Lepisosteus oculatus: one gene and its partners. The protein of the gene in region 1 purifies or fractionates together with the protein of each later gene. This does not show direct contact. Links are inferred from orthologs where the notes say so. Each region holds a gene or a part of one and is shown on either strand. Other genes may lie near its edges.

Region 1 (10,544 bases):
CACAGCCCTCCCCCTCCCGCCCCGGTCTGTCAGTCTGATCGTTCACAGGTACGGCGGGGCTGAGGCTGAGGAGCTCCACTACCTGGCCCAGCCTGACGTTCTGCCGATTTGCAGAACAAAATGCCTCAGACCAAGGAAGCGAGGCCCAGTGATTGAGGCAGAGAGGCTGGGAGGGGCAGTGAGGCCCGGTGATTGAGGCAGAGAGGCTGGGAGGGGCAGTGAGGCCCGGTGATTGAGGCAGAGAGGCTGGGAGGGGCAGTGAGGCCCGGTGATTGAGGCAGAGAGGCTGGGAGGGGCAGTGAGGCCCGGTGATTGAGGCAGAGAGGCTGGGAGGGGCAGTGAGGCCCGGTGATTGAGGCAGAGAGGCTGGGAGGGGCAGTGAGGCCCGGTGATTGAGGCAGAGAGGCTGGGAGGGGCAGTGAGGCTCGGTGATTGAGGCAGAGAGGCTGGGAGGGGCAGTGAGGCCCGGTGATTGAGGCAGAGAGGCTGGGAGGGGCAGTGAGGCCCGGCGATTGAGGCAGAGAGGCTAGGAGGGGCAGAGAGACTGAGAAAGAGTGGGATACAGTCAGCAGTTCGAAGTGACCAGGAGTCAGATGGGGGGGGTTTCTGGATGCATGAGACTGGTGGAGAGGGAGAGGCAGTCTGGGCTAATTCTGCCCGTCTATGAGGAAGGGAGGGCGTCTGGAACACCAAGTTCCAGAGGAAAGCTGGAGTGACTCAACGCTCTTGCTTCAGGTAAAACAAATACATACACACACACAGCAGTCCGTGCGCACGTATACAACAAGGGGATTGGGTTACCGTTTCGAGACGAGAGCGATTTTCACCTTTCCGAGCGAGAGGCAGCCAAGCCTGTGCTGCCAGCCTGCAGGGCGCCGTGCCAGCGCGGAGTCGGGCTCTCGGCACGCTACTCCGCCAGCAGGAAGTGGACGGGATTGGGGGGGGGGGGGCGTGTTCCTCATTCCACCCGAGAAGGGGAAGACAGAGGTTCTGACACTCTGTGATCATTAAACATCCCAGGGAGTTTCTCGAAAAGAGTAGGGGTGTTACCCCAGTGTCCTGGCAAAATTTCCCCCCTGGCCTTTACCAGTCATGGCCTCCCAATAACCCCCCTCTCTGAACTGGCTCCATCACTCTGCTCTCTTCCCCACTGGGAGCTGGTGTGTGGGGAGAGGACTGGAGCATCATGGGAAACCAGAGGTCACAGACCCAGACTGGGCAAATCCCTGACGGACACGATCAGAATCAGCAATCCAGTTCTGGAGCGCTTAATTGCCAATTTAGGAGTCTCTCACATCGGCAACAAGTCCAAAACCCCCTGTGAAAGAAACTCCAGAAACTGTACCAGTCGTAACATGAAATCAGGGAATCGCACCTTAGGAATTTTGCCATTTTTATTCCGATAACAAAAAATATACACATTTTTACAAACTGTAAATCACTGAAATGCACAGGAGAGCCGAGCGCCAGACCTGGTTTTCTCTGAAATATTAACGCCCCCTGGTGGAGCTCTGTGGCCACAGCCGCCATCCAAGTGCACAGCAGAAGGAAAACTGGAGTTAAAACGGGGTGGGGTGTCCACACTGCGGGATTGGAGCTAAAACCTCACGTGATGTGATGTGATCCAAGCTCGGACTCTCACATCATTCCCGAGCTCCCTGCTCGGCCCGTCAGGAAGACGTTGTCCTGTCCTCCGATCCCGCCGGACGAGGTGACGGTACTGACCGGTCAGCCAGTCAGCCCGGCTGTCTGTCCCGAAGAGGAGGGTCTGTGGCTTCCAGGAACTGGGATCAAATTCCCGGCCTTTCCCGCCGCCAGCTGCCGTTCCTCTTCGGGGGGAACTCCGCGAGCCAGGAGGAGGAGCGGGAGGGGAACTGGAGGAGGCGGGAGGAGGGGTCAGGAACGCGGGGCCCGGCCCGGCTCCGCTCGGGGGCCGGCGCCCCTCAGTCCGTGATGATGAGCTCGTCGCAGCCCCAGTCCTCGTAGCTGCCGTCCGGGAGGTAGCGCCGGATGATGATGGGGATCTTCCGGCTCCTGTGGGGGCACGGAGACGGACCGAGAGCCGTGAGGCGCGGGCACACACCCCCTCTCCTTCGAACCCGAGGCCACGCGACCCCCAAGCCTCCCCCCTTCACCCCCCTCGGAGCCAGCGACCCATCCTGCGCCCCGTTTACGTTTTCTCGCTCTTCACACAGTGGGGGGATTTTACTGGGGCCCCAGACCCGAACCCCAGCCACTGCGAAGGGAACCCCAAAAACAGCTCGCCGGTTTCTCCCCCGCCCTCCTCTCACTCAGGACAGAGGAGGGGACGAGGCGCAAGGAAGCAAGGCTCCCGATCTCCGGCCATCCCGGAGGCGCCCCGACATTCCCGGCCCCATCACCCGGAGAGCGGGTGCCGGGCTCCGGCGGCCAGGCCAGACGGCGACTGCAGGCAGACCGCGAATCCTGAAAAATCCCCACATAGCTGCGGAATTCCCCTGCGCCGCTCCGGGAACGCCTGGCACTCGGGCGCGGAGACAGGAGGCGGGAGGGGCCCCTGCCGCCGTCCGCTGCCATGGAGACGCACGACTCTGGAATACCCGCCAGCCACAGAAACCCCCTGGGAATTTCACACACGGAGAGACAGGTCACGGAGCCGGGAAGCCGAGAGTCCGGACTCCGGTGCTTTTACATCACGCCGTGGGCCCACAGGCCTCCACCATCTCCCAGGGAGCACACAGACGGGCTTACTGAGCCTACGCCGCACACAGCAAGGAAGCGCGGTTCCAGACTTCCTTTCTACGCCAAGAGTGTTGGGTGTCTGGAACTCGTTTCCAGGCCCCGTTGAAGACATCTCCCCCTCCAGGGCTGTTCAAGAAACAGCTGGGTGAGATCCCTACCAACTATTCGTTATGAGCAGCCTAACCTGCTGGGTGGGGAAAACGACCTGCTCTCGAGTGCTGCGTTCCTTCCACCCACCCTGGTGGGCACAGAGTAGAAACACCTGTTGCTCCTCCTCCCCCTCCCCCCAGCACTCACTTCAGCTCCTTCATGGCGATCTGGAGAGGGTCCGTCTCTCCTTCCAGCTCCACCATCACGGGGGCACACATCCTGCCGAGAGAGAGGGGAGGGAGGGAAGGCGTGAGAACGACACTGCCTGGAGAACACGGGACGGTGCGACGGACTGGATTCCTGCTCCACCCTCCCGCCCCTCTTTGTGAAAGGAGACTGCCGCGCGCTCTCCACCCTGGAGCCGCAGCGACACCCACAGGAGCGAGACCGGGAGGGGGGGCCAGTTTCGAGAACCACCCCGCTGTCGGTCTCTCTCTCCAGATCAGCTCAAGGCAGAAGCAACAGATCAAGAACTCCGCACGGGAGTCCTTTCCTGCAGGAACAAAGTTCTCCAGGGACGCAGGGAGTCAGGGCGCGGCTCAGGGAGGCGTAGAACTGAGGTCATGTGGCGTACGGGTCCCTCTGTGGACCCCCAGCGCCGCCATGCTCTAGAACCCTCTTATTTTCCAGGGCGCCTTTATAACCCCAACGCAGCGCCGGCCATCCTCGTGTATGTCCAGCTGGCCAAGACTGAGTCAGCCGAACTGGTCACACTCAGAGTCAAGCAACGCTCTGTCCAGCCCAACGGGGAGACGTGCAGACCGACCCGGGACGGGGAGACGGGTCTGGACCAGGGGAGCTGCAGACAGGAGACGGGTGGCCACTCACGCGATCTGCAGCGCCCGGGTGCCCAGCACCCTGGCCCTCTCGTACTTGGTCATGTAGGGGGTGGTGATGCGCTTCTGGTTGGCCTGCTGGCCCTCCCCTGCTGGCAGGATCTGCACGTTCTCCTGATCCTCCTGCGGACAGGGAGAGACAGAGGGGTTCACACCACAGAGAGAGAGCGGGGTTCACATTATAGAGAGAGAGGGGGTCAGGTCACAGAGAGAGAGGTGGGGTTCACGTCACAGCGCCCCGCTGCCAGAGAAACAGGGTCCCAAGACAAGGCCCAGGTGAGAAACACTCACATCCTCCGGGTTCTCCAAATCGTCCAGCCCTTCATCCTCCTCGACATCGTCGAAATCTCCGTCGTCGAAGCTGAAAGACAGGGAGGAAGAGGAGGGTCAGGTCGCCCCGCTGCAGACGGGCGCAAGCCGCCGGGGGGGCTGTCCTCAGGGGCTGAGGAGAAGGGGTTTGTGGGTCATCCGGCTGGGAACGTCAGAATCAACAGGGCGAGTTCGGGGCTCAGGACCCGTCCGGCATCGTCTCGTCGGACCGCAGGTAAGATCGATGAAGCCCGAGAGAGAAAACCTGCAGCCTCTTAACGCCACGGAGAAGGCGGCCAGGGGAGAACCAGCTATCAGAATAAATATTTAATAATCCAGCTGATGTGGTTCAAAATCTGTCGTCCATCTCACTCACATACGCACTGATCTCGGGATTCGCGGAAACTGCGAGCTACACGGACGGTAAACACCCCCGAATGAAACCTTTCAGAAACACGGGGATTCGCTTACTTGTCCTCGTTGTCAGACATCTCTCACCCGCAAGCGTGAGGAATTCAGAGGAAAACTTGCAGCAGTATTTTAAGCAGCCGAAAAACGACTAAACACACTCGGCACAAACAACCCGCCTCCTCCTCAGCACCACGCCGTCCTCCTTTCACTTCCGCCCCAGGCAAGACAACTTCCGGGTCAAACAGCACAGTTGCTGTACTGTCAGTTTTCTGTTAATGACCCGGATTTCTTCTATTGATTGCGGAATTTTCTTGAGAGTTTGTTCAGAATAGGGCATTATAACTGCTGACACAGTAGTACAAATATATAACACAGTTAAAAAATGACATTTGTTACTTTAACATAACAATATGAAACTTTTAGCATAATAAATGCCACTTTTCGAAGTAAAACGTACCTAATAACAGCCTTTTACCAAACAGCATGTGAAAATATTTTCAAAGCGATTAAAGAAAATAACTGATTTCATACCATATGACCTATTAATACCCACTAGGTTCCCATTACTGAAAGCTTTATTTATAAACATTAAGAGAAAACATATAACAATAGGCGACAGCAGACGAAATAACATATAAATGCCTTAGAAGAGAAGTCTGTGGAACTCGGTTACTTTGCAGGAACAATTTTCTTTAACAACCTGTTTCGGGTGGCGGCGGGGAGGGGTCATGGCGTGACGTCAAGGCCCCGCCGTTGCCATGGCAGCAGGGCTCGGCGTCCTGGCCGGAAGTCGCGCTGCCAGGCTGTGTGCGGACTGGAGACGATACCGGGTGAGATGTCTGTCTTTCTGCAGTTCATATCAGCGGTTCATAAGCTCGTGTCGGGGATGATTTTCAGGGTAACGCTTGGTGCAGCTTGCGGCCGTTCTCCCGTCCTGCACAGCATCACTGTAGCTATAGGAGAGGCAGTGTAGCTATTGCAATTCAAACCATGGGGCGATATTTATGAATACACAGTTAATAGACCAGAATTGCGTGAGTGAACGTAGTTCATAAGTATTCAATTTGCAAATGTCTCACAACAGAGGGTGGTTACTGTAATTATAATGTTCTTCTCCGGAGTGACGCTCTACACGAAATGAATGTTAAGTGAAAGTACCAGAAACAGTCACGGGGGTAAAATGAGAAATAAAGTTAGAGATGACTTCAGTTTAGACCGCCCAGATTCAGTAGAACATCTTTTATTCCCACGGCTATGATCCGGCTCAATGGGGACAATTGGATGTACATTTTACCTCATATATTTGTGTTTTTTCTCATTGTACATGAATGTCTCTTATTTGTTAATGGGTTTGTGTTAAATTGTCTTACTTGCCTGCAAAGCAAATTTCCCATCTGGGACAATCCAGTAAGTACAGGAGAGGGAGGGGAGTGAGGTCATAAACTTCAGGACAGGGGTACAGGGAGTCTGGGGGTACAGGAGCAGTGGACAGGGGGTACAGGGAGTCTGGGGGTACAGGAGCAGTGGGCAGGAGGTACAGGGAGTCTGGGGCTACAGGAGCAGTGGACAGGGGTACAGGGAGTCTGGGGGTACAGGAGCAGTGGGCAGGGGGTACAGGGAGTCTGGGGGTACAGGAGCAGTGGCCAGGGGGTACAGGGAGTCTGGGGGTACAGGTGCAGTGTGCAGGGGGTACAGGGAGTCTGGGGGTACAGGAGCAGTGTGCAGTGCAGTGGTAAGAAACAAGCCTGGGGAGACGGGAACAGGACAGAGAAAGGGCTGTTCCCTGCAGCCTCTGGAGAGGCAGCTTTCTGCCTTCACCCCCAGGCGCTTTCACTGGGACAGTGATGACTCGGCAGCCTGCCTCCAGTCCTGACAGCTTTATAGCTCGTTCGCTGCAGAACAGACACCTTTTCCAGCTATTATACTTTACCTGTCCCCCAGTTTTAGCCACAGAGAGATCTTGTTGCTCCAGAGGCTTGGGCACGAGGCCCGGTATTGTTCCTGTGTTCTTGGACTGCTCACTGCTCCCTTCACCTGACTCGTTTCCCAACAGTCAGCTCTTTCTCGGCACGCAAGCTCGTCCTGAACTCTGCTGCATGTTGAAAGTTTGTGCTGCGCACAGCAAGTTAAGGGCGGCACCTTGACGCAGCAGGTAGCATTGCTGCTTTCCAGCGCTGGGGCCCCGGGTTCGATCCCCGACCCCGAGTGCTGTCTGTGTGGAGTCTGCATGTTCTCCCCGTGTTTGTGTGGGTTTCCTCCGGGTGCTCTGGTTTCCTCCCACAGTCCAGAAAAATGCTGGTCGATTAACTGGGTACCAGCAGAACTGGCCCAGGTGTGAGTGTGTGCGCTCTGCGATGGACTGGCGTCCCATCCTGGGTGTATCCTGCCTTGCGCCCGGAGCTTGCTGGGATAGGTTCTGGCTTCCCCAGGGCCCTGAATAGGATAAAGGAAATGGTTGTGTTGTCTTAACCCCTGTGTGCTCCTGTGTGCAGGACCCTGCGTCTGATGTCCTCCAGAGACAGAGCTCAGCTCCCAGGAGCCGGGGGCGGCCTGTGGAACTGCCCCCGTGTGCCCCAGTACAGCCAGGAGACCCAGGAGCTCCTGAGAGGCGAGTGTCCCGAATGTGGGTCCGAGTGTGTGTCCCCCGGCGTGTGCGTTTGCCCATTCAGTGCTTGAGGGGGGGCGGGGCGTCGGTGCTGCGTCACAGCTGCAGACGGCAGGACAAGATCCCAGCTTGCCGCCTGTCTGCGTGGAGTCTGCATGTTCCTCCACGGGTTGGCGTGAGTTCTCAACGTGGTGCTGTAGGTCTCTGGTTTCCTCCAGCCTCCTGCAGTGCAGGCTTGGACTATAGCATAGTGGAGCCCAGAGAGTCTGGGACGGTTCCGCCGTCGTGGAGAGGAAGGTAGCGTGATCTGATGGTGTCTGGGTGTGCGTGTGACCCCGGGTCGGGGGGCCTGACAGCCTGACTTGTGTCCTGTTGCAGTGATGATGCAGGAATCCCGGCTGACCCGCTTCCAGGAGAGACAGATCGGCGAGAGGCTGCAGAGTGAGTCCTGGAACCCGCCGCCGGCGGGGACTGTCCCGATCGCGCGACTCGCCAGACACGCCCTGGCATACCCTCCCACAGGCGTGCCAGGATCTGCGCTCCTCGTCTCGCCTGAGCTCATTACCTTTTCCAAATCACACCCACCCTGAGTCACGGGGGGGGGGGGTGGTTGTTTTTAAACACGACTCCTGAACGGGGTCCTGCGGTTCCTCTCTGGTGACCCCTGTCCGACCCCGCGGGTGGGCAGAGCTGGTGTTCACGCCGCACTCGCCTCTGCGCAATGAGGGGCTTGGGTCTGTTTTCTAATAAGTGAAAATGAATTATTATTATTTTATGTCATAAAATGTATTTTTATTGGAAGAGATTCATAACCTATTTTGCACGCTCGCATTGCAGAACTGTGTTTGTGAGAATCCGTCTCCGTGTGCGCACGTGTGTCTGCTCGCCCCGAGAGGAAAAGACAGTGATCGATTTCGGGTTCTGGTCAGGTTCGGGCTTCAAATTAGGCAGTACCATTCGGGCTCGGTCGGGTTGGGTCTCAAGGTCTCGGGTAGGGGGCTTCAGTTTCATGCCCGTGCAGACCTGCAGTGACATCTACTCGTCTTCCACGCTGTGGTTCAGCACGGTTTTCATGCACCATTGCTGGTGTTGCTTTCCTCTGCCAGAAGGGGGCGCCCTCCCGCCGCGCTGTCACCCCACCTCCAGCGAAGTACCCAGAGCCCCAGCCGCAGCTCCCAGACCCCAGCCAAGGGCAGGCCCGAGCCCCGCCTTCAAGCCCCAGCGGCGCAGCGCCGAACAGTGTCAGGCCGGGGACAGCTACCAGAGGGAGAGGTTCCGCCCCAGACCCACACGTGAGTTGGCCGCACCCCGCGAGCTACAGCACCAGAACCGGGTCCAACGGTCCAGCGGTCCAGCTGTCCAGCGCAGCGGCACACAGGGCAGGCCTGGGGCCTCTCCTGGCTGGGCTGTGCCCTGCAGCGCAGCAGAGCGCAGAGCTCAGAGCTCAGCCGTGCCCTCTCTCTCCTCCTCTTGAACTCCCAGGAGACCCGGAGAAGGAGAAGAGGCGTCTGCAGAGCCTGCTGGCCACGGGGCGCGAGGAGCCCGGTCCGCCGCCCCCCCTGCCGGCCGCTGCCGGGACAGAAGCTACCCCGGGGAGGGATCGCTTCCAGGAGGGTGAGGAGGAGCACCGACTGGCCCGAGCCAGCAGTTTGCATGGTTTGCTAGACCTCTCCATCGCTTGCCTAACCTCTGCTTTCCATAAAGGGATCTGCCAGACCAGGCAGTGATGATGTGTAGCAGTCCCAGCCAACCAAAACATGGATGCAAAATATGAAAAAGTCACTAATACCCATATAGGGTCTTCCCTTTTTCATCACCCTGATCACATGTGCAAGACTGTCCCACGCTGGAGCACTTCTGATTTGTAAAAGTTCGATTCAGTGTTTCAAGAATCACCGCTGCCGAGAGTCTGACCCTCCGCGTCTTCGTCCCGTCTCAGTGCTGGACGAGATCGAGGAGAGACGGCAGTTCCTGGAGGAGATGACTGCGCTGGGAAGAGGGAAGGAGTACCAGACCATCATCAGCACGGAGATCTCCCAGGTAACAGAGGTGACGCCGTGCTGCTGACATCATCGCACCGTGTCATCGTGCACGGATCGTTGCAACACACCGATGACATCACCAGCATCAGATCACAAGGGTCATCAGTGCAGTTGGAGAACATGTAGTGATGTCATCAGCATTGCATCACTCGGGTAACAGAGCTGATGGCATCATCAGGGGCGACATCATGAACACCGTGACACTCTGTGAAATCCCGTTTCCTCTCTTCCACAGAAAATCCGTGAGCTGGAGCTGATCGACGGGGCTCGGAGCTCGGAGCTGAGCGCCCTGAGGCAGAGGGGGCAGGAGCAGCCCTGAGTGAGGGGGTCTGGGGGGTCAGCTCGGTCACCCCTTCCTGCCACACAGGTCTGGAGTGGACCAGACAAGCTCCCTCAAGGTGTCATGACTTATTCCCCACAAATAAGAGACGTGCGCTCAGCTCTGGACCTTGGGAAATTTTCTCCCGCTCCACCAACACAGACAGTGGTCCGGCACGCAGCAGCGCCACCGGTGAACACAGTTTAGACTGGACTGGACATCCCACTGAGTCACAGCTCCCAGTACGTGACTCTTACCCTGTACTGTGAGCACAGGGGTCACTTCAATCGGGGGTCCTAGACCAGTCAGTCTGCTCTTTGTCTAGACGTATCCTTACACACCCTCATACACAGACCGACAGGTAATGGGCTCAAATTCTCTTCTTCTGGAGACACCGAGATGTGCGTGAGACACCCATGAATGGACTGCAGTGAATGACCCAGATACGGTTCATGACAGAACACAAAATTGATTAAAGATTTAAAACACAACTGCTATGCGTTTCATTAAGTTAGTTTATTTGGATGTTCTTGGGTAGACAAGCTGTGTTATGACTATTTCTGACCCTCTGAAAGAAGCAGACACGGGCCCAGGCAGGCAGAGACAGACTGACAAACTCCCAGAACTACGCAGAGCCACACCCGAGCTCCGACCGGGCGAACTGGGCCTGCTGTTCGCAGTACCGGTTCTACTGGGCATTGGTCTCTAAATGCACATCCTGCAGCTCAGCAGCTGTAGGGCACTGACCCAGATCCAGGTGCTAACGTGCAGGTATTTACAGAGGACAAGAACGCGTTCCAGGATTTTCGAACCCGGTCCGTCTGTGAAGTGACAGGGTATCTCAGTGCTGGGTCCGCATGCACGCTCCCACACCGCTGGGGCTACGCTCTGTGCTGCTTCATCCAGAAATCCAGCTCTTTAAGGCCACAGTTATTACTCAACACAGAAATCCAAAAAAAAACAAAAAACAAAAACACAAAGGCATCTTTAAAAACGGACATTAAATATTGCATAACCAGGACTGAGTGCTCTCCCTGACCTGTGACCTGTGACCTGTGACCTGCTCTTACACCCTCTCCAGTTAAAAAAACAAATTCACGGCCTGTGCCTGCTGACCTCCACGCAGGCCCTGAACACGTCCCATACAGATA
Region 2 (9,581 bases), on another chromosome or scaffold:
AAGAATTACTTTTACCTGAAATAGACAAGTTGATCTTTTAGACGAGTTGAGTGTCACGGCCCGCATAGCAGGAACTGCACTTGCAGGCATACATCGGGGAAACCCCACTCAAGTTCAGATGGAGAACGTCTCCTGACTGTCATCTGTACCCAATGTATTAATCAGAAAGCCTTTTACTCAAGCAGCATTACTGAATGCTACCTTGACACCAAACTGGCACTCAGAAGCTCAATCAGTATTATTCCCTTTAATTCATTAAGTTGCAGGCTGAATTCTCTCTGCCGGTAGTTAAGGGTTATTCACTTTCTGTGCTGTTTGCATCACCTTTTTTTCCTCCTTTCTCCTTTCCTCACAGACCATCTCTGGAATTCATGTGTGTGTTGTAGTCCCAGTGTGCTTGTTTTCACTCACTGTTGATGAATTTACATGCTGCCACTGGGAAAGTGCAGTAAAAGTGTGAGCTATTTTAGCCCTGCTATCACTGAAAGAGAGATTCTGTAGTGCTTTTCTGACATGCTTTCCAGGACAAAGACTAGGTTTCTAGGACTGTGATCCTTGAGTTGTTTTAGAAGAAAGCTGCTTTAGCCCTGTGCTCCAGCATTGTTGTTTCTGGATATGATGACAGCGATACACCAGCACGACCCGCCAGCTGCTCTTACCTCTGTGTCCACCTAGTGTACTGTAAGCGGCTGTTCTGGAGCCTCTGATCCATTCCGCTAACAGAATCTTTCTTGCACAATGCTGTGTCACATAGCTGTCACCGGGTCCACTTGCATCACTGCAGACTAGCACAGATGCATGTTCTTCACAGGCGCGAGATAGGAAACGTGTTCTTCACTCCAGTCCTATGCAGTGTGTTGAATAAAGAGGGTTTTCAGTAGTTTCTTCGCCATAAAATTAGATGACATTTAGACCAATAAGATAATTCCAAGCACCAACTCTGTTAAGGAATAACTTTATTGGTTCTGTCTGACTGCCACAAGTCATGGTATGAAATGCGTTAAGTTCTTGCTTATGTCTGGGTGAAATACATATGTAGCATTTCACATTTTTTCTTAATGTTTTCACTACACTCACAAAGTAGCTGTTTTGATGAAACTCTGCTTCCTGGTATAAAATAATAATTGCTTACACTTATAAAGCGCTTTACAGGTAATGGGGACTCCCCTCCACCGCCACCAATGTGCAGGATTACGCAACTTTGACCAAGTGTCAAGGATCAAGCCTCTTCACAAATGCCCAATGATATCAAGCAGGAACACTGCAGGGTGCAAAACCTTTTGAATGTGGTAAAGAAAAAGATTTGTGGTTTGTCCGTGGAGCCACCTGCCAGTAAGCACTCAATGAAAAATACATTGTTGCTTCTGTCGGCCATTCAGACCTTAATTATTCCATTCTAATTACATTTTTTAGGTATGTTTATTTCCAGTATATTTCTATTTTTTAAACTATGCTATTAACTACCTAGCATGTTTCAAAGTCTGAAAAAGCCTATCGGCTGCAGCTAGTAAAAATGAATTGATGATATATCGTAAATGTCCCATGGCAGTGCATGTTCGAGCTTCTTATGGATATTTTGCAAAAGCAGGCTGGCCTCCTTTGACATTGTACGCTCCAGCCCTCTCTGTACGCAATGTGAAGTGGCTTGCAGTGCTGTGGAAAGGCTGTGATGTTAAAGGTGGGTTGAAGTGCACAAGTATTTTTTTAGGAAAAGACAATGAGATCACCTTCAATCCAGTCACCGGTATTCTCTGTTTCTATCTGTGTTGCCATGTAAATTACACTGCTGCGTAAGATGAGCCATGCGAGCTGCTCCACTACTACTGCACTGGATACTAAATTATTCTTTTAACAATAAAAACAAAAAGCAAAGCGAGAACCAGCCTCTTTCCTTTAGCTTTCTAAGAATATGTTGGTTCTGAATGACCAGCGGTTTTGAACACAGGATCACTCGACACAGTTTTATTCTGCTCACTTCAAGACCTGTAAAAGAATGACAGCTTCACATTTCCTCTCATATTTCACCCGGTAATCTCTTCAGTGCGGTGAACTTTGTTCAAATATATACACGTATTAAATAGCTTAATACGACTACAACCAGAGCTACTCCACAACAGGTCTGTCTGGCACAGAACAGGCTGTCTGCTCATTCCTCAGAGCCCTTTCAGCATCCAACACCAAGAACTTCCCTGGGAATATTCAAGACAGACAAGTGTCATGTTTCAATTGCAGCCCTACGGTGTTTTTGCTATATCTCGGCTGGGGATCCTGAATCACTTCAACGAAGTGATTCTTTAGATGCCACAGGACCGTTAATTATTTGTTCAAAAACTTAGCATGGCTCCTTCACTTGGAGTACACATGAGAATTTCCGATGGCCGCTAACCTGGGGGGGGGACGGCCAGCATGCCTGTTCTAAGAGGTTTAACACACAGCGGGGGATCAGACAGCGAGGCGAGGGCCGGTCCCTGCGGCGTTCAGTCTCTCCAGCGGTGCCCACACTGCTGGTTGCAACACTTGTAGAAGGTGGTCATGGGCTCATCTGCCGAACGGGTCTGGATCTGCATAAAGTAGGCCCGGGGGTGCTCGCACTTCGGGCAGGTCTCTGGAAAGAAGACACCAGAGGTAGCAGATGACAAAATGGTGTAGGATTGGCACCGGACTTCCTGACTCGCACCACTGGACACCTCGGGAAAAATGCGGGATTTTCCCCATCTTTGGCCCACGGCACATTTGCACTAGACAACGAATAACGAAAAACGGGGATTTGTTTTCCCCTTTCTCGAGTGACATTACCTGGAGTGGAATCCACATTCTCCCAGGCCGCAGCGCCGCCCAGAACGTCATCAACCTCCTTCAGTTTGGGGTACTTTCTGTTGGTGACCTACAGCATCGAGAACACGCTGCGTCAGGAAGACGAGCAAGACGGGTGTCTTACACGCAGAGCACCACCCGCCCTGCAGACCTTCTAGACCTTTCGCCCAGATTATAGGGGTCCCGATGGTCTTTTTTTTTTTCAGGTGACATTCGCCCATGAGAATACTCTCGGAGGCGCACGCATAGCGCCATTAAATTAAACTAATTAAACTCCACACGCAACTAATCCTGCCATAAATTCTCAGATTCCCATATATACCCCACGCCACTCTGTTGTCTCCCTCGCTCGCTTCGCATCCCTACTCCTCCATCCCCATCTTTGCTTGTGCAACTACACCTTGGTCACCTTTTCACCGGGCATGGGGTCTTAGTCTCCTCGCCCCATGGCCGGGAGGGTAGCCCTCAGCCAGGGTGGGCGGGGGTTAAACCAGGTTTCCACAAACTCATTAAACGATTTTACTTTCACGCAGGATTCGGCTGCCCCCGTGAAGGAGGAGCAGCAGGAAGATTCAGCCACTGGGGGGGGGTACAGCCCAACTACTGCGCTTGACTCGAGATAGTGGGGAAAAAATGTAAGAGAAATGAATCCAAAATGATACACAATGTTAGCAAAAAGCTGCATCATAATTTGGACCGCTGAATATGTTTGCTTGTGACGCATCTATACCCAATGAGCAAACGCAATTATTAAAATATAACAAACGTCTTAAAATACTAAAGTATACGACTCAGGCACGATGATAGAGACCCTACGCAATGTAACAAGAGCCTTGTCGACTCTCTTACCTTCCTAGTTATGTTGTGTATATAGGGACAGGTGTTACACGCAAACCTGTAACACTTCTGCCCTTCTTCCACAATCAAGACATTTCCACAGGTCGGACAGAACAGCAACATCTCCTATCTCAGAAGAAAAACAACTGTATTTGTTGAAAAAGACGTCTTCGAACCTCAAGACGAGTTTTTCGCGAATTCCTCAAACTGCACGCCGCAAACTCTCCCGTGTCACGCAGTTTTAAGTGTCCGCTAGGAAACAATTCCTGACTCAGACAGTTCCCACAGCGCCTGCAAACGAGTCGCATTTGTGGTCGAAACTGTTAACAGTTTAAACCACTATCAAATCAGAAATATATTAGGTAATGTATAAATGTATTAGGTTACTTTTTGTCTATGGCATATTCCATATTTGTGAGTATCAGTGTCCTAGGTACAAGAGTCGCCTAGTTTCTCCGGGGAAGTGAAAATGAACGGACCCGAGAATTGTTTAAGCGTCCGTTTTGGAAGACAGCGGAGGAGAAGCAGTGGTGAGTGCTATTTAGCGTCTCATTTTATAAAGGTGGCGGTTTTTCTTTGGAGGTGTGATGAATACTCTGCAATAACTGGACTTGACGTGAATATACTTGTCAGAATTGATCTAGTTGATTCATGATAGACCGAGTTGTGTTCAGTGCAACCATTAAGCATTGATTTAAAATTCTTCTCGTCTGGCCGTGATGAGTGATGACCCCTTGTCATGTTGCACACAGAGTCTGTTCATTGCAGTCCGCCGGTGTGGGTTTGAATGGAGGGCCTGTTTTAAGGTCTACTCGGCCCCGCTGTGTGTTCATCCCCCCGAGTGCTGATGGCCGAGGCGGTGGAGACAGGTTCCCCGGGTCTCGGTGCAGGAGCGGCGGTGAAAGAGGAGGACCAGACCGGAGAGCTAGAGACGGAGGACAAAAAAGTCGAGGAGGAGGAGGAAGAGGAAGATGAGGAAGCCCTGCCCCACGCGGAGTTCCTGGACATCTTCGAGGAAGGTCTGGCTCAGATAGTGCAGGACCCCCTGCTCTGCGACCTGCCGATACAGGTTGGTTTATCTGCCTCGTCGGCTTCTGGATCCTGGATAAGCTGTGTAACCCAGCAAGACAGATTTGGCAGCAATCCCTGTCTGACATGAAACAGGAGGGCACGTGTGGCTGCAGCATAGAAAAAGTGTGAAAGCTGTGAAGCTGGGGTGGGGTGGGGGAATAACCCAATATGACTTTGAAACCCTTCAAACCCACGACCCTCTGGGACTCGGGACTGAGCGTTCCACAGCTGAACCCTCCTGCCTGGCTTTCTGTCACTCCAGGTCACTCTGGAGGAGGTGAGCTCTCAGGTGGCTCTGGAGTATGGCCAGGCTATGACTGTGCGTGTCTGCAAGGCCGACGGGGAGGTCATGCGTGAGTCACGAGTTTTTGTTTCTTGGCTTTTTCCCCCCTCTTAACCTGTTGTATGATCCGCAGGAAATCAGGCAACCAGATGCTTCTCTGTGGGGTTGTTGGGTCACTGACTTGGTCAGGCCCAGTGGCTGTCAGCTGTTTGAATTCACAGTCACTAGTGAACCACAAGATGTGAAAGCGACTCCGGAGTGATTTAAGCTACTCAGTACAGGCGTGTAGGACAGGTTCATCGACCCTCTGGGTTGAGGTAGTTAAAGATCGTAAGAAAACTTGAAAATGAGAGGAGGGATTCTTTTTCAGACAGCGGTGCTTTCTTGCAGCGATCGTGGTGGTGCAGAACGCCTCCGTGCTGGATCTGAAGAAAGCCATCCGCAGATACCTGGAGCTGAAACAGCAGCGTGAAGGAGGGGTGAAGCACATCAGCTGGTAGAGTGTCCTGCAGTCGAAAAATACAATAAAACGGTCTAGACTGGAGTCGGGGGAATTTTTCCTTTTGACAACATGGTCAAATACTAGAGATCCTGCATGCTTTTTTTGTAAAAACTCTGGGATAAGACGCTGAAGCGTGAATTACTTTAAAGTCAGACATCACTGTAGGGTCATTTTAACATTGATCTTTCTTTCACATCCTGTGCGTAATTGTGCGAGGTAAACTTCATCGCTCGTCCTTTCCGATTTCTGCCTTTTCAAGGAGGTACGTGTGGAGAACCTATCACTTAATCTTCAACGGGGAGAAGCTGGAAGACGACAAAATGAAGCTGAAGGAGTAAGTAAAAACAAACATTCCCCTTCCCTGGCATTGCTGATGAGTGTGAGTGTCTGTGCTCTGTGAGCTGTGAAGCGAGGGACACAACAGTGGATTATGTATCGCAGAATGTGGCGATGTGCAGATAACCGATCGGTTTAGGGCTCATTCGAACCAGACCATCCCAGGTGCTTTGTTGCTACTGGGTTTTAAAGGAGACAGCAGCAGGCGGGGGTGGAGATTGTGTTATTTTGTTGAGAGGTAAAACTGTGTGGAATAACCTCACTTTCAGGTTTGCTCAGAGAGAGTTCTTTGTGTGGAACCCCAGAGCTTTGTCCTGAAAACTCTCTCTCTTTTCTTTGCACAGTTACGGCATAAGGAACAGAGATGAAGTGACTTTTGGCAAGAAACTGAGGAAAAAGTAAAACAAGGTAGCGTCTTACAGATTTACCAGTTACTTAAGAAGTTCTGCCCGAGTTGGGTTCCTTTTCCTCTACGCTCAGTTCGGCCCTGTGGGATGCATGCAACACAGGCATTTCTGAGGTGCTACTGGTGCCTTGCTTCCTGAAGTCTGACCTGTTTGGTACCCGGGTTATAAATAACACCAAGCCAAAAAAAAAAGTTCAAATGTAGACCGCATTTGAATATATGTCTTCATATTCAAATTAGTTCTCTTCACTGTGCTTGAGGAATTGATTCAGCCTTTATATACTCATTTTCTAAGGCTTTTTCACAGTCCAAATGACCGATACAGAGCCGTGTTCTGGAAATCTGAAAGATGCAAAATGAAGTGTTGTAAGGAAATGTCTATCAGATCTTTGAAAGTTTATAATGGCGACTGTGCGCTCACTGTGCTGGTCAAGCCCCGGCAGTTTGTGTGTCCTGATTTACGAGTCTTTTTGAAGTTTTACATCGCCGACATCAGAACCCGACATTGTTTTGAATTCTCGGTGACGCTAGTGGATTATGTATCGCAGAATGTTAAACACATTGCACCCAGTGATGTAACGAACGGAGTTCAGCCCACTTAAGATAAACCTGTACTCCATGACTTGCTGTCTTTAAAGTGCTAGTTTGTTTCAGGTAAGCTAGTGTTGTTAACAGAATGTCAGCGTGTCATTCTCTGGACGTTTTGTTGATTTAGGTGTGCAGAGACGGAGCTGTGAGGATCATCTCACTCCCCTTGAAGAGCTATACACCTCTGCTCACTCCAGCGTTCAGCTCTGTACACTGAGAAAGCTTTGTATGACTGTTGTGTCATTAGGTTTGTTTTATAGAGATTTCATAAAAAACTGTATTTTTTCACATTTTGTAGATGGTTGTACATTGATTTCTCTGTGTAAAAAAAAATTGTCAAGTGAAAAATCCGCATTAAAAAACTGCAGTGCTCCACTTGTTGAGTGTGCGTTGTTCAATGACGTTCCCTGGTTTGGGCAGATGAGATGGCCCTTTGTCCCCTGTGGTATTTACAGTTCAGTGAACATTACAGCAAACAAATTAGATGCTTCTTTGAATTCCCCATCCTTCATATATACAGGGATTTGGTGGGATTTGGGGGTTCCTAGGGCATAGATGTATATAGCAGTGTGTTATACAGCCGAAGATGTGTATACTAACATTGTTTTTACTGATCTCATGCCTCGTTTTAAAGTATAAGTGAAGGTGTTAAGGACACTGTACTATACCACATACTTTAAATATGGTGTTTGCAACAGTTTTTTCTCCTCTCTATACTGGGCAAAGAGCAGGTGTCTATTTCCTGGAGTCGCAGAGCTGCACTGAGCTTCGGGTTGCACAGACAAGCTTCTCTCGCCTGGCTTGAAGAGAGGTGAGATCTTCAGCTTTTGTGTATAAAGGTTATTTAACACTTGAGAACATTAAAGTCTTGGGCAATGGAAACATCTTTATCTATTAAATCAAGCGCTGTTGAAGATGTACAGTACGATGGAAGGGTGGAGAATTGGGGAATACATTTAATTAAGCTTTTCGTGTGCTTATATGTTGCTTGAGTGCAAAAATAAAAATCATTTGATCGTATTTATATTTCACAATGGACTTGAGACAACTGCATCTGCCTCCCAGTGAATGTACGTATAGATTTTTTTGCTGTGTTTCTGCTGGTTAACGTGGTATGCACACTGTTGGCACGAACCTGTACTTTCGAAAGCTGGCACCGGGGTGGGGGGGGTTAGTACTGCCAATTCACTGCTGCTCTTGGGTCCTGGGTTCAGTTCTTTCGGGTGTTCTCCCTGGGGGTGGGGTGAGTTTTCTCATCTCCCACAGACTTGCTGGTTAGGGTCATGGGTGTGCCCTGCAGGGGACTGGCATCCTGTCCGGTGTGCCCGACCCTGATCGGAACAATGCGGGAGCAGAAGTCCATCGACCCCCAGGCTGGAAGCGGAGTGTGGCTGCCTGGCCTCTTCTCTGCGCCGCGGTTTCAACGTCCTGTTGAAGCTGGTCCGCCTTCTGTCCTGAGGAGGGTTTGCTTGGGAGCTTTGCTCTTTCTCTTACTGCCTGGGGCGCGGTGGGGGGAGAGTTGTGTCAGCAGTGAAGGTCTGGATGTTGGGCCCTGTGATTAAAGCCCTGCTGAGCTCGATGCTGCAGTGAGACCACGCGGCCCGAGGTAGAGTAACCAGCTGGCCAGCCTGCTGGCCCCCAGGGGCCTGTGCTCGGCGTTCCGTTTTCCCTCAGCTCCTCGTCTCGTCCCCAGGAGGTGGCCACAGCATGCCCAGCCCGCAGGAGCTGCAGGAGCTGCAGGAGATCGAGCAGGAGCTGAGGCGGCTGCAGCTCAAGACCCAGCAGCTGAATGACCGGCGAGCGCTGCTGTCCATGCTGCAGAGCTTCCAGGAGGACACCAAGATCATCGCCCCTTCTGGCAGGAAGAAGAAAGGTCCCCTGGTCCCCGGCCCCCGGCACCCGCTGTTTTAACAACACACACGCCCGCCGATTTTCTTTTAAAGCCAGGTTTCTTGCCAAGACCCGAGCTGTGCTTTGGCCGATTGTTAAATTTGTCCTCGTGCCACTGTTCATTCAGTGTCCAAATAACGCATTCTGGTGTCTAGCAGACGGATCGGGGAAGAAATCGGAGCTGGAGGAGATCGAGGAGGAACTGGAAGCTCTCTCGGAGAAGGAGGAGGATCTCCTTGCCAGGAAAGAAGAGATCCTCTACCCAGATGGTCAGAAACAAGGTATGGCACTCCTCCCCCGAAATTTAAGCACAGAGAATGAGGGACAATACAGCCCAGTCCGGTCCAGCTTAGGGAAAGTAAGCGTTCCTTGGGGACAGAGCAGCAGCTGGCTGTTTCCTGGTGGGTCTCGGAGGCAGAGAGCTGCACTGACCTGTGGATCACACACACCCATACACCTGTGGGGAACAGGGGTGAGATCTTCATGTCTCCTGGGTGAAGGTTATTCATCACTTGAGCATGCTAAATAGCAATGTGTACAGTGCACTGGGGTGCAGAAGGCTTGTTTTCACTTGCCGTTCCGAGTCTCGAGGGGTCTCTCCCCTTGCCGCTGGGCACCCCGGAAACCTGCTCTTCTCTGTGTCTCCGCCAGCGGTCTCCAAGCTGAACGGCATGGGGGTGTTCGTCCTCCCTCGCCTGGGCAGCGAGATGCCGGACGTGCCGCCCCCCCCGCCCGCGCCAGGTGAGACTCTGCGCCCCCGTCGCCGGCCGCTCTCCGCCGGGCCAGCACGAGGCCCCCATGTCTGGGCGCGTCCTGTGGGCTCCCCTCCTTTCGGGGCGCGGCCAGGCCCAGCT
Region 3 (9,526 bases), on another chromosome or scaffold:
TGCTTTTTAACCCTCTAGGCTAAGAGTACACTTCTTCTATCATCTTGCCCATGTCCTATTACAATATATACTGCAAACTCATACACAAGCACATTTATATAGTGTCACTGTAAATAGTACTGATGCCTTCTACACCATAAATTGATAATTAAGTAGAACTCAACAAAAATGCTTAAATTCACAAATTTGTATATTTTATACCTTGATTGATACATTGTTTTATAAAAATACAAATAGAAGAACACTTCTAAATTTTGAGTTGAATTAACAATACTAGACTATAGCGAGAGCAAGGTATGTCCTTCACATCGCTTGGCTTTGCAGGGAAGTGAAGTGAAAGGAATTAGAGAATTATAAAAGCTCAGCATATGAGATGAGCAGTGCCACTGGTTTTCAAAATACTCCAGGGATATTAGTTCTCATGTACAAACACCTTGCCATGTACTTTACTTCTAAGCTTGGCTGTTTCCAGATGTTAAATGACACCTATACCAGACATTTACAAAAGGTCATGCACATTACATATTTGTTCCTTTATTTAACGCGTGTTGCTCCCTTTTTTATAAAAGGAAAAAATAAAAACATTCATGATGTAAAAAAAAGCAATATAAATAATAAAAAATATGTGTTGGTGGAAATGTAATATTCTGGCTTCTCGATTCAATCTTGAATAAAATAATCCAATACGTTATTCGCAGAGTTGAGTTATCTGAAGTAAACAACAAATGGAACTTGCTGGATGGTTTCAGAACACAAACAGATAACATCACAGATAAGTCACATATCTGCATTACTGAATGATATGTAATGATCACCAAACTGCTCAATCCCACTGCAGTACAATAAACAAAACCACTGAGCTATGGAACCCACTGCAGAGCAATAATCTAAGATCAAACTGCTGCCCAGTGCTCTTGCTCATGAAGATTTTAAACATGCAGCTGCTCAGCACTCTACCACATTCTGAACAACAGAACTCCAGGACAGATCTACTCAACAAACTTCAGCACAGCAAGACCAAGGCAATGAACAAACTGCTGACCAGAATTCTTGAATGTGGAGATGCTAAACACACTGTAACCCAACACTTTCAACAATTTCTACTGAGCTCACTGTACCACAGAATGCTCTCAGAGCTACTGAACATACTGCAGTCCAGTTTTTTTTTACATTTAGCTCCTGAAATACATTGCGTATGACATCCACTACAAAACATCCTGCTACCTAACACTCTGTATTACTCAAACAAGCACACTAACTTTCACATTAGCTACTCAAGCCCAACTAATTAACCTTACACAAACTTGATGTTGTAAATGGAAAGTTACCCTTGGATGAGATCAGTGCCAGAAGGATGGGGGACTGTTAATTCCTTACCTTCGTGCAGCAAAGATTATGTGGTCAGCCCTGATCTGAAATAAAACCACTCTTCAGATCTGATTTGAGAGAGACCGCAGTGAATTCTTTTCGTCGTCTGTAGTGGATGATGGATCCCTCAGGAACACTGATTACAAAGTGAAGCGAGCCTTGTATTTCTCTCTCTCTATTTCACTATCCTTCTCAGTTGCCCAGCAGCTCTGTCAAAACACTGCGTGCTTCAGTGCTGCATAGCTGCATTGCCCAAATTTGCACCAATCTCACTGCTATAAACATGTACACACGCACATACAAGCACACAATCAAGAGAACAGCTCCCCTAACCTCTATCAATGCCCCCCCCCCACCACCACCACCCCCACTCACAGTGCCCTGGCCAATGAGCCAATGAGCTCTCTCCTGTGCTCATATTTACAGTATCAGATAAACCTTATAACAGTTTATAACACAGAGGTAACAAAATAACAAACACTATTATGCAATTTGTACTTATTGTCCAAAACTGCCATCTTATCAGCATTTGAAAGATAATCTATATCAGTGGTGGGCAGGAATAACAGGTACCCCATTTTTTTTTACATAAATGTGGACCCAGCCTGAATCAAATTCAGTCCAGGCTAGAGGCTCCACTGCCAGAGTCCTGAGAGGCTAACCAGATGCTACACCATATGGAGATCTCTATAGGAAACTCAAAATCCATACAGTTAACTTAGTTTCAGCTACAGTTAAGGCCAGTATTGCATTGGATACAATATGTGTGTTGCTGTAAGGTGTTTTTCTATGAAGTATTTATCTGTGTCCCTCTTCTCTGCCTTCTTTTCCTGTTCAAAGTATATCCAAATTGGGGAAAATCCCATGTACTGGGGCTCTGAGGCCGTAATTCAGCTCCTTTCAGATAACATCATTCCCTACTACATCTCCAACAGCAAAAGATCAAACAACCAACAGAGTACAGGTTACGTGTCATAAGAAAACCAAGTACAAGTGCTTTGAGAAAGACTGAATGTAAGTGATTGGAGAACTACTCAAACTACAAATAACTTCAAATTAACGCACGGCGATTTGACAGCCCACTCAAAATGGTTTAAGACAGTTTTCTGAGAAAATCTTTTTATAGCAATAATGGTTCTTCTAATGGTATTATCAGAATTGTTTTGTATTATTATTATTATTATTATTATTATTATTATTATTATTATTATTATTATTATTATTATTGACCATAGACTGTTTCTGATTGTAATGCAATATGCACGTCTATGCAGGGGGAATAGCGATTAATCTAGGGTGTAGTTTGGAGTCACTGTGTAAACTTTACCATAAAAATTCGCTACGATAACAGTTTATCAGCGATGTGCTCAAGAGAGCGTATAGGCAATCGTGCTCACGTTATTGACAGCGTAGTTCAGCATAACCATCCAGCCGCAAGTGATAACATCGCTGAACCTCGGCAATGTCTCATCTCTCCCCTGCCGGCCGCGGTACACCGAACTCATCAAAGGCAAATTAAACCATCTGTCTTTGAACGGCCGTGACAGGAAGGCAAGGGCGAAGCTGGGGCGAGAGATCCTTGGACTCAGTCAGTTCGAATTTGTCTGCAGTCTGTACCCGTGGTGCAGATTGGGACCGACAGGGATCGTCAGCTATTAGCACTGCGGCAGCTCCGAAATTAATCCGCCTAGAACATTATAAAACAAGTGGCTAAATTAGACATTGGAGCTTGTTGTTGGGCTAAAAAGACAAACGATGAATAGCTGAACGATAAACCACGGATAACAGTCAAAATGCCCTGTTCTTGTCATAGAAATAAGGCAGCGTCTGAGTTTCTAACATGTTGAAATTCGCAAATACTTGTGCCTACAATTACTGTACAGTATGTCTATTAAATTACTGATTCCTGAGTAAGGCGAACAGGTCTTTAGCAAGCAATGCGGTATTAGTCTTATTGTGGTTAAATGTGTGGTGGCTACAATACGCTCTACGCATTGCAAAGCACAAATACGAACATTTGAAAGATAATTATGATATACAATTATGATGTCTCAGTAGTAGAATATTAACAGAATAGCTTTCTGTGTCATAATTTAAACCTGCAGGGCTTTGTTTTGCATCATCATCATAATAATATATGCCTAGAAAATTACATAACGAGTGTATAGGCACCTTAATATGGGTATCAAGATAATGTGGAGTGTTAGATTGCAAAAACATACTGTAGCCTTGATGCAGATTATCATTGAGGGCCAAAGTGTGTAAATCCTGATTATTTAGGTATTGCAATTCTGACTTTTCATTATATTTTATTCTTTATAGTTTATGTTTGTAAATAACACAAGAAAGACAGTAGACAACATATTACTATAATGTAATAATAGTTGAATCCTCTTCTGTCATCCTCTGCATTCATTACATACTATTATCAACAATTTGCCTACATTTTATCAATGATAGTAGGTTTCATTAAATTAAGACTCAGTAATCTGTTAATTGAAGGAAATCCACTAAGACTGTTTTTTAAAAAAATAGTTAAAAATCAGGAAATGAGTGAAAGACAAAAAAGAGCACTAATGGAAGATTCACACTGAAAATAAATATAAAGACAATGAAAATGAAGTTATCACATATAACTACAACAAATTTGCATAGTTTTTAAATGTGCTGACTTTTTTTTCCAGAAACATAGGTAAATTAATTATTCTGATGATCATTTGCTACCAAGAGTGGGTTGTACTGCAAAACTCACAGGCTAGTAGTGTGTGTGGCCACAGACCATACAAGCTGACATTCTGTGACGCATGCTTTGCAGAGCAAAGCAAAATCACAAGGCTGCAGTTATGGCCTTGTGGGATTCTGTGCCAATCCCTCTTGCAGATCCTTTAAGCCACATGGCTGTTCACTGGTCTCTGAACTCCAGTTCAACAATCATCTATAACTGTCTCTGTTCAACTGGGCACAAACGTTCAATGAGGTTCACATCTAGTGTGGGAATCCCAGGCGTTACAGTCACATTTTCACCTTGCCAGAAAGCCATTGTTATATGAGTAGTTTGAGGACATACATTGTCCTGTTGGAATGTTGTCAAGACAGGATGTACCTGTAGGAAACGCAGTAGGAAAGTGGGGTCCCACGACTTAATCAGTTAGATTGCTGTCAGACAGAGTTCTGAAGTAATAATAATAATAATAATAATAATAATAATAATAATAATAATAATAATAATAATAGATGTGACTAGATACTCCTGTCTGGACCTTCACTCTTGGTCCTCTGCATCGATTGGTCTGTTGTGCACTACAATAAGTGTGTCAGCTTGCTGACATTAATCAGAGTGGTCTACACAAAACCTTGAATAGTCTTTAAAGAGAATTTGGCTTCATTGCTGGCAAGGTGCTATATAAATTTTCTAGAGAGTGGTACACGCCATATGTGTTACAACAAATATATAAGAGGTGCATATATAATAAACATTACAATGTCATAAATATTACAAGGTAGAAGTGTACATTTGTCGTTGTATAATGCAAAACAATATAGTAGGACACATCGTAAACATAGGAATATAGATCTCCTACACAGTATCAAACGTATTTCATAGGAAACTTTACTTGACCTTAAGGCGATTCACACATCCCCACATTAGGTGGCAGCACCATACAAGAGTGAGGAAATTTTGCATACCACTTCATTGAAAGAACAACTCTTCTTTTGGTTTGCCGACATGGCTGCTCAATTTTTTTCTGATGAGATACACAACCTGAGCAACCTGTGTGATCTAGTGACGAAATTGCTGAGAATTTTAACTTCAAAAGGTACAACCTTATCTCAGCAGCGGAACGGTAGTGTAATTTGAACAAAACTATTCTAGAAACAACATTGCCCTTACAAACATGGTGGCTAGCACAGGCGAGCAAGGTGAAAGTTCAAAGGGAAAAGTCCAACATCAGTCTGTCATGGTGGTTTTTGCATGAGTTAGGTGTATGTGTGACTCAGATTGTAAAAAAAACCCGACAAAAATAGTGCATTTCAGCTGGTGACGATTTATTTTCAGTATCATTTGTACTGGTTTTGTATCTGAAATACATTTGGAAGAGAAGTCTTTATCGTTTTCTTTCCAGTTCAGGTAAATGAAGTGATTTACATGTGTAGCCAGCTTGTTGTATATGTAACAGGATCGAGCGAGTTCAAGTAGATGGCGAAAAGCGAATTCATTTTAAAATTTTCATCACAACGTTATTTGCTGTTCGTGTAGTACTCTTTCGTTGGCCGAAGAGCTCCGCAGAAGAGAGCGGAGTGAAGTTAGTGTATGGTACTGTAAGGTTTTCTAGTCCTGGACAGGACGAGGCCAGGAGAATAGTCTCAGTGAAAGTTTCACTTTAACTAAAAGATCACGTCTTCGGTCAGTTGCCTCATTTTTAACAGTTGCCCAATCGATTATCCTTGTTGCTTTTCAGAACTAGAGTTACAGACCTCTCCTGTTAGTGGCTGACTATAAATTTCATCATAAATATTTTTCTAAAGATTAAGTACAAATTAGAATTTGTGCTACGTGGATCACACTGATGTGTTTGAGGATGCGCATCACATGAGCCCCTTTTTCTCAGCGACTGGTCATTTCTTTTAATGGTGCCATTGTGGCAAAGTGAATTGTTAGTAAGGAGTTCCTCACGCCTGTTTCTCAGTCGCTCTTATTCTCCATCTTTTCTCTGCTGCAGTGGTGTGATTGTGCAGCGATGTCAGACCCTTGTGGTGGGGATCCCTTGCCCCCAGGGGTGTCTCGGCCTGCGCTGCCCGGAAGGAGACTCCCTGCCCCTGTTGTGACGGGACGCCTGCCCTCCATGCGTTCTCGCGACCTCACCCTGGGGGGTGTGAAGAAGGTAGGAGTGAATAGACAGAGCATGCAGCTCCCCAATTACATAGCAGATTGGTCAGAGACAGATTTTATGAGGTGCAGTGCCATCTGGACTGATGAAGTTCTTGGATGTGTTAATGTAGGTGCAGTAGAATCGAGTGGAGCTGTGCTAATCAAAATACTAACTTTAATATTTCTTGCAACATTTTAGCAAGTGAAATATTCCAGTTGCTTTGCAACAGTTTTCTGAATAAATAGCTGAAGGCATCTTTGGGGTAAGCCTGTCATATGCAGTGTCTTGCACTTCTCCGACCAGTATATTTTTGACGCTAAAAAAATTGTGAGGTGTCCTGTTATGCTTCACTTGGCATCTGGGGGTGAGGGGGCAAAGCAGGAACATTAAGGATCTGCGCCTGTGACTGTAAGGTTGCCGGTTCAAATCCCGCGGCTGGCAGAGGAATCCTACTCCGTTGGGCCCCTGAGGAAGGCCCTTAACCCTAACTGCTCCAGGGGTGCCGTACAATGGCTGACCCTGCGCTCTGACCCCAAGCTTCACTCCCTGTCTGTGTGTCTGTGTCTCCATGGAGAAAAGCTGGGGTATACGAAAAGACGAATTCCTAATGCAAGAAATTGTATAGGGCTAATAAAGAAACATTATTATTATTATTATTATTATTATTATTATTATTATTATTATTATTAAACTGTTTTTCTGATGAGTTTAAAAATCTGTTTCATGTCCTTCTGGTAAAGAAGGTTGAGAACATAAAGTCAACTAGATCTAGGTCTACATATTAGTCTACTAATAGGTGACTGTGACTGGTAATTTAGTGTTGATCTCGCATAATACCTGAACATTCATAGTATATATTTTACCTGTTATAAAAATGCTGCATGGCAATTTTAGTGTCACATGTACTATCTGTTGCCTAAGAATCCGGAAAACCAGGAATGCTAAAGAAATTTCTAAACTTTCAAGCATTCAGACTTTTGACTTTTGTTATTTGTCCCATTTTTATTTGGTTGCTGTTGGATGAGTTTTAGATGGCATAAATCTCAGATGTCACAGGCCCAATCAGTGTCTTTTTTTCTGTATCTTACAGAAAACTTTCACCCCCAATATCATCAGCCGCAAAGCCAAGGAAGAGTAAGTAAATTATCTTTTATAGACAAGTACCACTAGGTCTCTTCCACAGAGTTCATAATGAGAACTAGGCCTAAATGGAAAAAAAAAATATTATAGTCAGATCAGCCTTCACTGGTTTGTTGTATATTTTAAGTACTTCATCTGTATTACATTTTTTTTTCAATCTAAAAAGCTTAGCAAAACATGAAGAAAGACTCAAGTCTAGTAGCAAACTTGCATTTGCAAGCATAATTTAACATTTTTGGTTAGAGTGAATCCAGTGTCTATGTGCATGTTGTCTATCTATCCACAAAAGCCTGTGATTTTACAATGACAACCACAAAACAGAGCCAGTACCAAAATAGCATTGTTTGCGAGGCTGGACTTATGAATTATGCAGGGCGTGAGAGGGCAGGAAGTTCAGACAAGATGGCAGCCTTTATCTGGACTACATGACCCAATAAACTGGGGGGACAGAGCTGCTGTCCTCAGTCACCTGAACAGTTGTTGTAAGAGAGGTGGTCATACAACAGTTTAAAAGCAGGAAGCAAAGGCTTCCAGGGTTGGTCATATCTGCTGTCTGGAGGACAGACGGCAGAGCTTCTGAGATACAAACCCACAAGTTCCTTTTACCCCTCGGTCTGTCACATCCATCTCCCTTCTCTCTTGCTGCTTGGAGGGACTGCCTAGGCCTAGACAGTGGAGGAGATTGGTACTATTAACAAGGGAGGAAAATCCTTTCTTTACTGTGTGTTGGGAAGTGTTTGGGTACATGATGTCACCACTGCATTTCTGCATTCCAACAGGCAGAAGGTGGAGGGCCACCAGAAGAAGGAGAGGAAGGAGAGAGAGAGGGATCGTCAGCGGGATGGGCGAGGAAGGGGTCGGGGACGCCCTGAGATCATTCAGTCCCACTCCATTTTTGAGCAAGGCCCTGCCGAGATGATGATGAAAAAGAGGGGTGAGAAAGGCATCTCCTCTTTGCATGTACTCCCAGGAATACCAGAGAGCTTAGCTATGAAGTGCACACCTCTCTGGTTGTCTGGTTTGATTTCAGAAAGCATTCAGTTACTTTTCTGCTCCTACTTTCTTTTTTACTTTTTTTTAATGAGGAGTCCTTTGACAACCTGGCTGTAATAATAGTTTTAATGTTGTTAGAAATGTGGTAGTGATAAAGCTAAACTAGAAAAAATCAGTGCACAAGTTTTTTAAACAAATGCCCCTTCATGAACATATAAAGAAATTACTCTTAAGCAAAATTTGTTTAATGAGTGATGAGTTTATGTATATACAGTCTGTGGCATTTAGCATTGTTACTGGGCAAAAAAGCAATATTTGAATTCAGAAATTTTCATTTTATGTTTTTTTTCTTTTAATTTTATTTTGAAATAATGGAGTGGGTGGCATGGTGGCACAGTGATTAGTATGGCTTTTCTGACCTGGGGTGCTGTCTGTTTGGAGTTTGTGTGTTCTCCCTGTGTTTGCGTGGGTTTCCTCTGGGTGCTCCAATTTCCTTTCACAGTCCAATAACATGCTGGTAGATGAATTGGCTTCTCAGAAAATTGGCCTTAGCTGTGAGTGTTTGCATGTCTGCTCTGTGATGGACTGGCTTCATTCAGATTGTGCCCTGTCTTGTGCCCATTGCTTGCCGTGATAGACTTCAGCTCCCCCGCGACCCTGAATTAGAAGATGCAGTTATTGCAGTAAGTGGATGGATAATTAATAGATTTATAATGGTGACACCTAGTGGAAGGTAAGAGAATGTCATGTAATCCCAAAGAATTCCCAAAGTGCTTGAGACAGGATGGGACCTGCTTCTTCCACCACTGAAGTGCCAAAACCACATGAGTGACATCTCATGTGACAACCATTAGTGCCAGCAGTCCGGCTGCTCTGCAGATTAGTGAGAAATTGCTTCACTGGCTGAATTCAGGGGGAACATTATGGAGGCTGGATTGTGGAATTTAGCTTGGACACTGGGGTTAACATTCAGCACATCAGTAGGCACTTCTAGTAATTTTTCATAAAGAATAAGTAGTAAAACCTCAATTTAAAGTATGATTTGAAAGATAAAGTCTCCTTCTCCACAGTATCTCCTGTCCCCATACTGTAGTATTGGTGTGGACATTTTGCTTCAGGGGAAGAGTGCCATCTGTTGACCCCTACATCCAATT

What was found.
Region 2: the proteins of polr2f (region 1) and polr3k purify together in Homo sapiens (affinity purification with mass spectrometry; 5 studies listed by BioGRID and IntAct, with this or other methods). This does not show direct contact. The link is inferred for Lepisosteus oculatus from reciprocal best matches to the Homo sapiens genes POLR2F and POLR3K.
Region 3: the proteins of polr2f (region 1) and polr3d purify together in Homo sapiens (affinity purification with mass spectrometry; 5 studies listed by BioGRID and IntAct, with this or other methods). This does not show direct contact. The link is inferred for Lepisosteus oculatus from reciprocal best matches to the Homo sapiens genes POLR2F and POLR3D.

The regions. Positions count from the first base shown.
Region 1 is NC_090707.1:38,686,476-38,697,019, reverse strand, and holds polr2f (DNA-directed RNA polymerases I, II, and III subunit RPABC2), read right to left. Parts: upstream 4,654-10,544; 5' UTR 4,508-4,653; coding exon 4,488-4,507; intron 4,252-4,487; exon of another isoform or gene 4,194-4,251; intron 4,069-4,193; coding exon 3,999-4,068; intron 3,831-3,998; coding exon 3,700-3,830; intron 3,091-3,699; coding exon 3,019-3,090; intron 2,035-3,018; coding exon 1,944-2,034; 3' UTR 1,377-1,943; downstream 1-1,376. Other genes in the region: c12h22orf23 (UPF0193 protein EVG1), read left to right, coding at 6,933-7,035, 7,411-7,473, 8,139-8,324, 8,515-8,646, 8,972-9,072, 9,310-9,393. UniProt on the Homo sapiens protein: DNA-dependent RNA polymerase catalyzes the transcription of DNA into RNA using the four ribonucleoside triphosphates as substrates.
Region 2 is NC_090714.1:15,976,687-15,986,267, reverse strand, and holds polr3k (DNA-directed RNA polymerase III subunit RPC10), read right to left. Parts: upstream 4,000-9,581; 5' UTR 3,960-3,999; coding exon 3,828-3,959; exon of another isoform or gene 3,775-3,827; coding exon of another isoform or gene 3,664-3,774; intron 2,885-3,663; coding exon 2,797-2,884; intron 2,606-2,796; coding exon 2,478-2,605; 3' UTR 1,948-2,477; downstream 1-1,947. Other genes in the region: snrnp25 (U11/U12 small nuclear ribonucleoprotein 25 kDa protein), read left to right, coding at 4,499-4,720, 4,985-5,075, 5,396-5,501, 5,767-5,841, 6,188-6,245; uncharacterized protein, read left to right, coding at 8,627-9,008, 9,379-9,468. UniProt on the Homo sapiens protein: Core component of RNA polymerase III (Pol III) which synthesizes small non-coding RNAs using the four ribonucleoside triphosphates as substrates. Can mediate Pol I proofreading of the nascent RNA transcript.
Region 3 is NC_090697.1:62,941,700-62,951,225, reverse strand, and holds the start of polr3d (DNA-directed RNA polymerase III subunit RPC4), read left to right. Parts: upstream 1-5,079; 5' UTR 5,080-5,186; intron 5,187-5,296; exon of another isoform or gene 5,297-5,497; intron 5,498-6,089; 5' UTR 6,090-6,107; coding exon 6,108-6,251; intron 6,252-7,329; coding exon 7,330-7,373; intron 7,374-8,158; coding exon 8,159-8,313; intron 8,314-9,526. UniProt on the Homo sapiens protein: DNA-dependent RNA polymerase catalyzes the transcription of DNA into RNA using the four ribonucleoside triphosphates as substrates.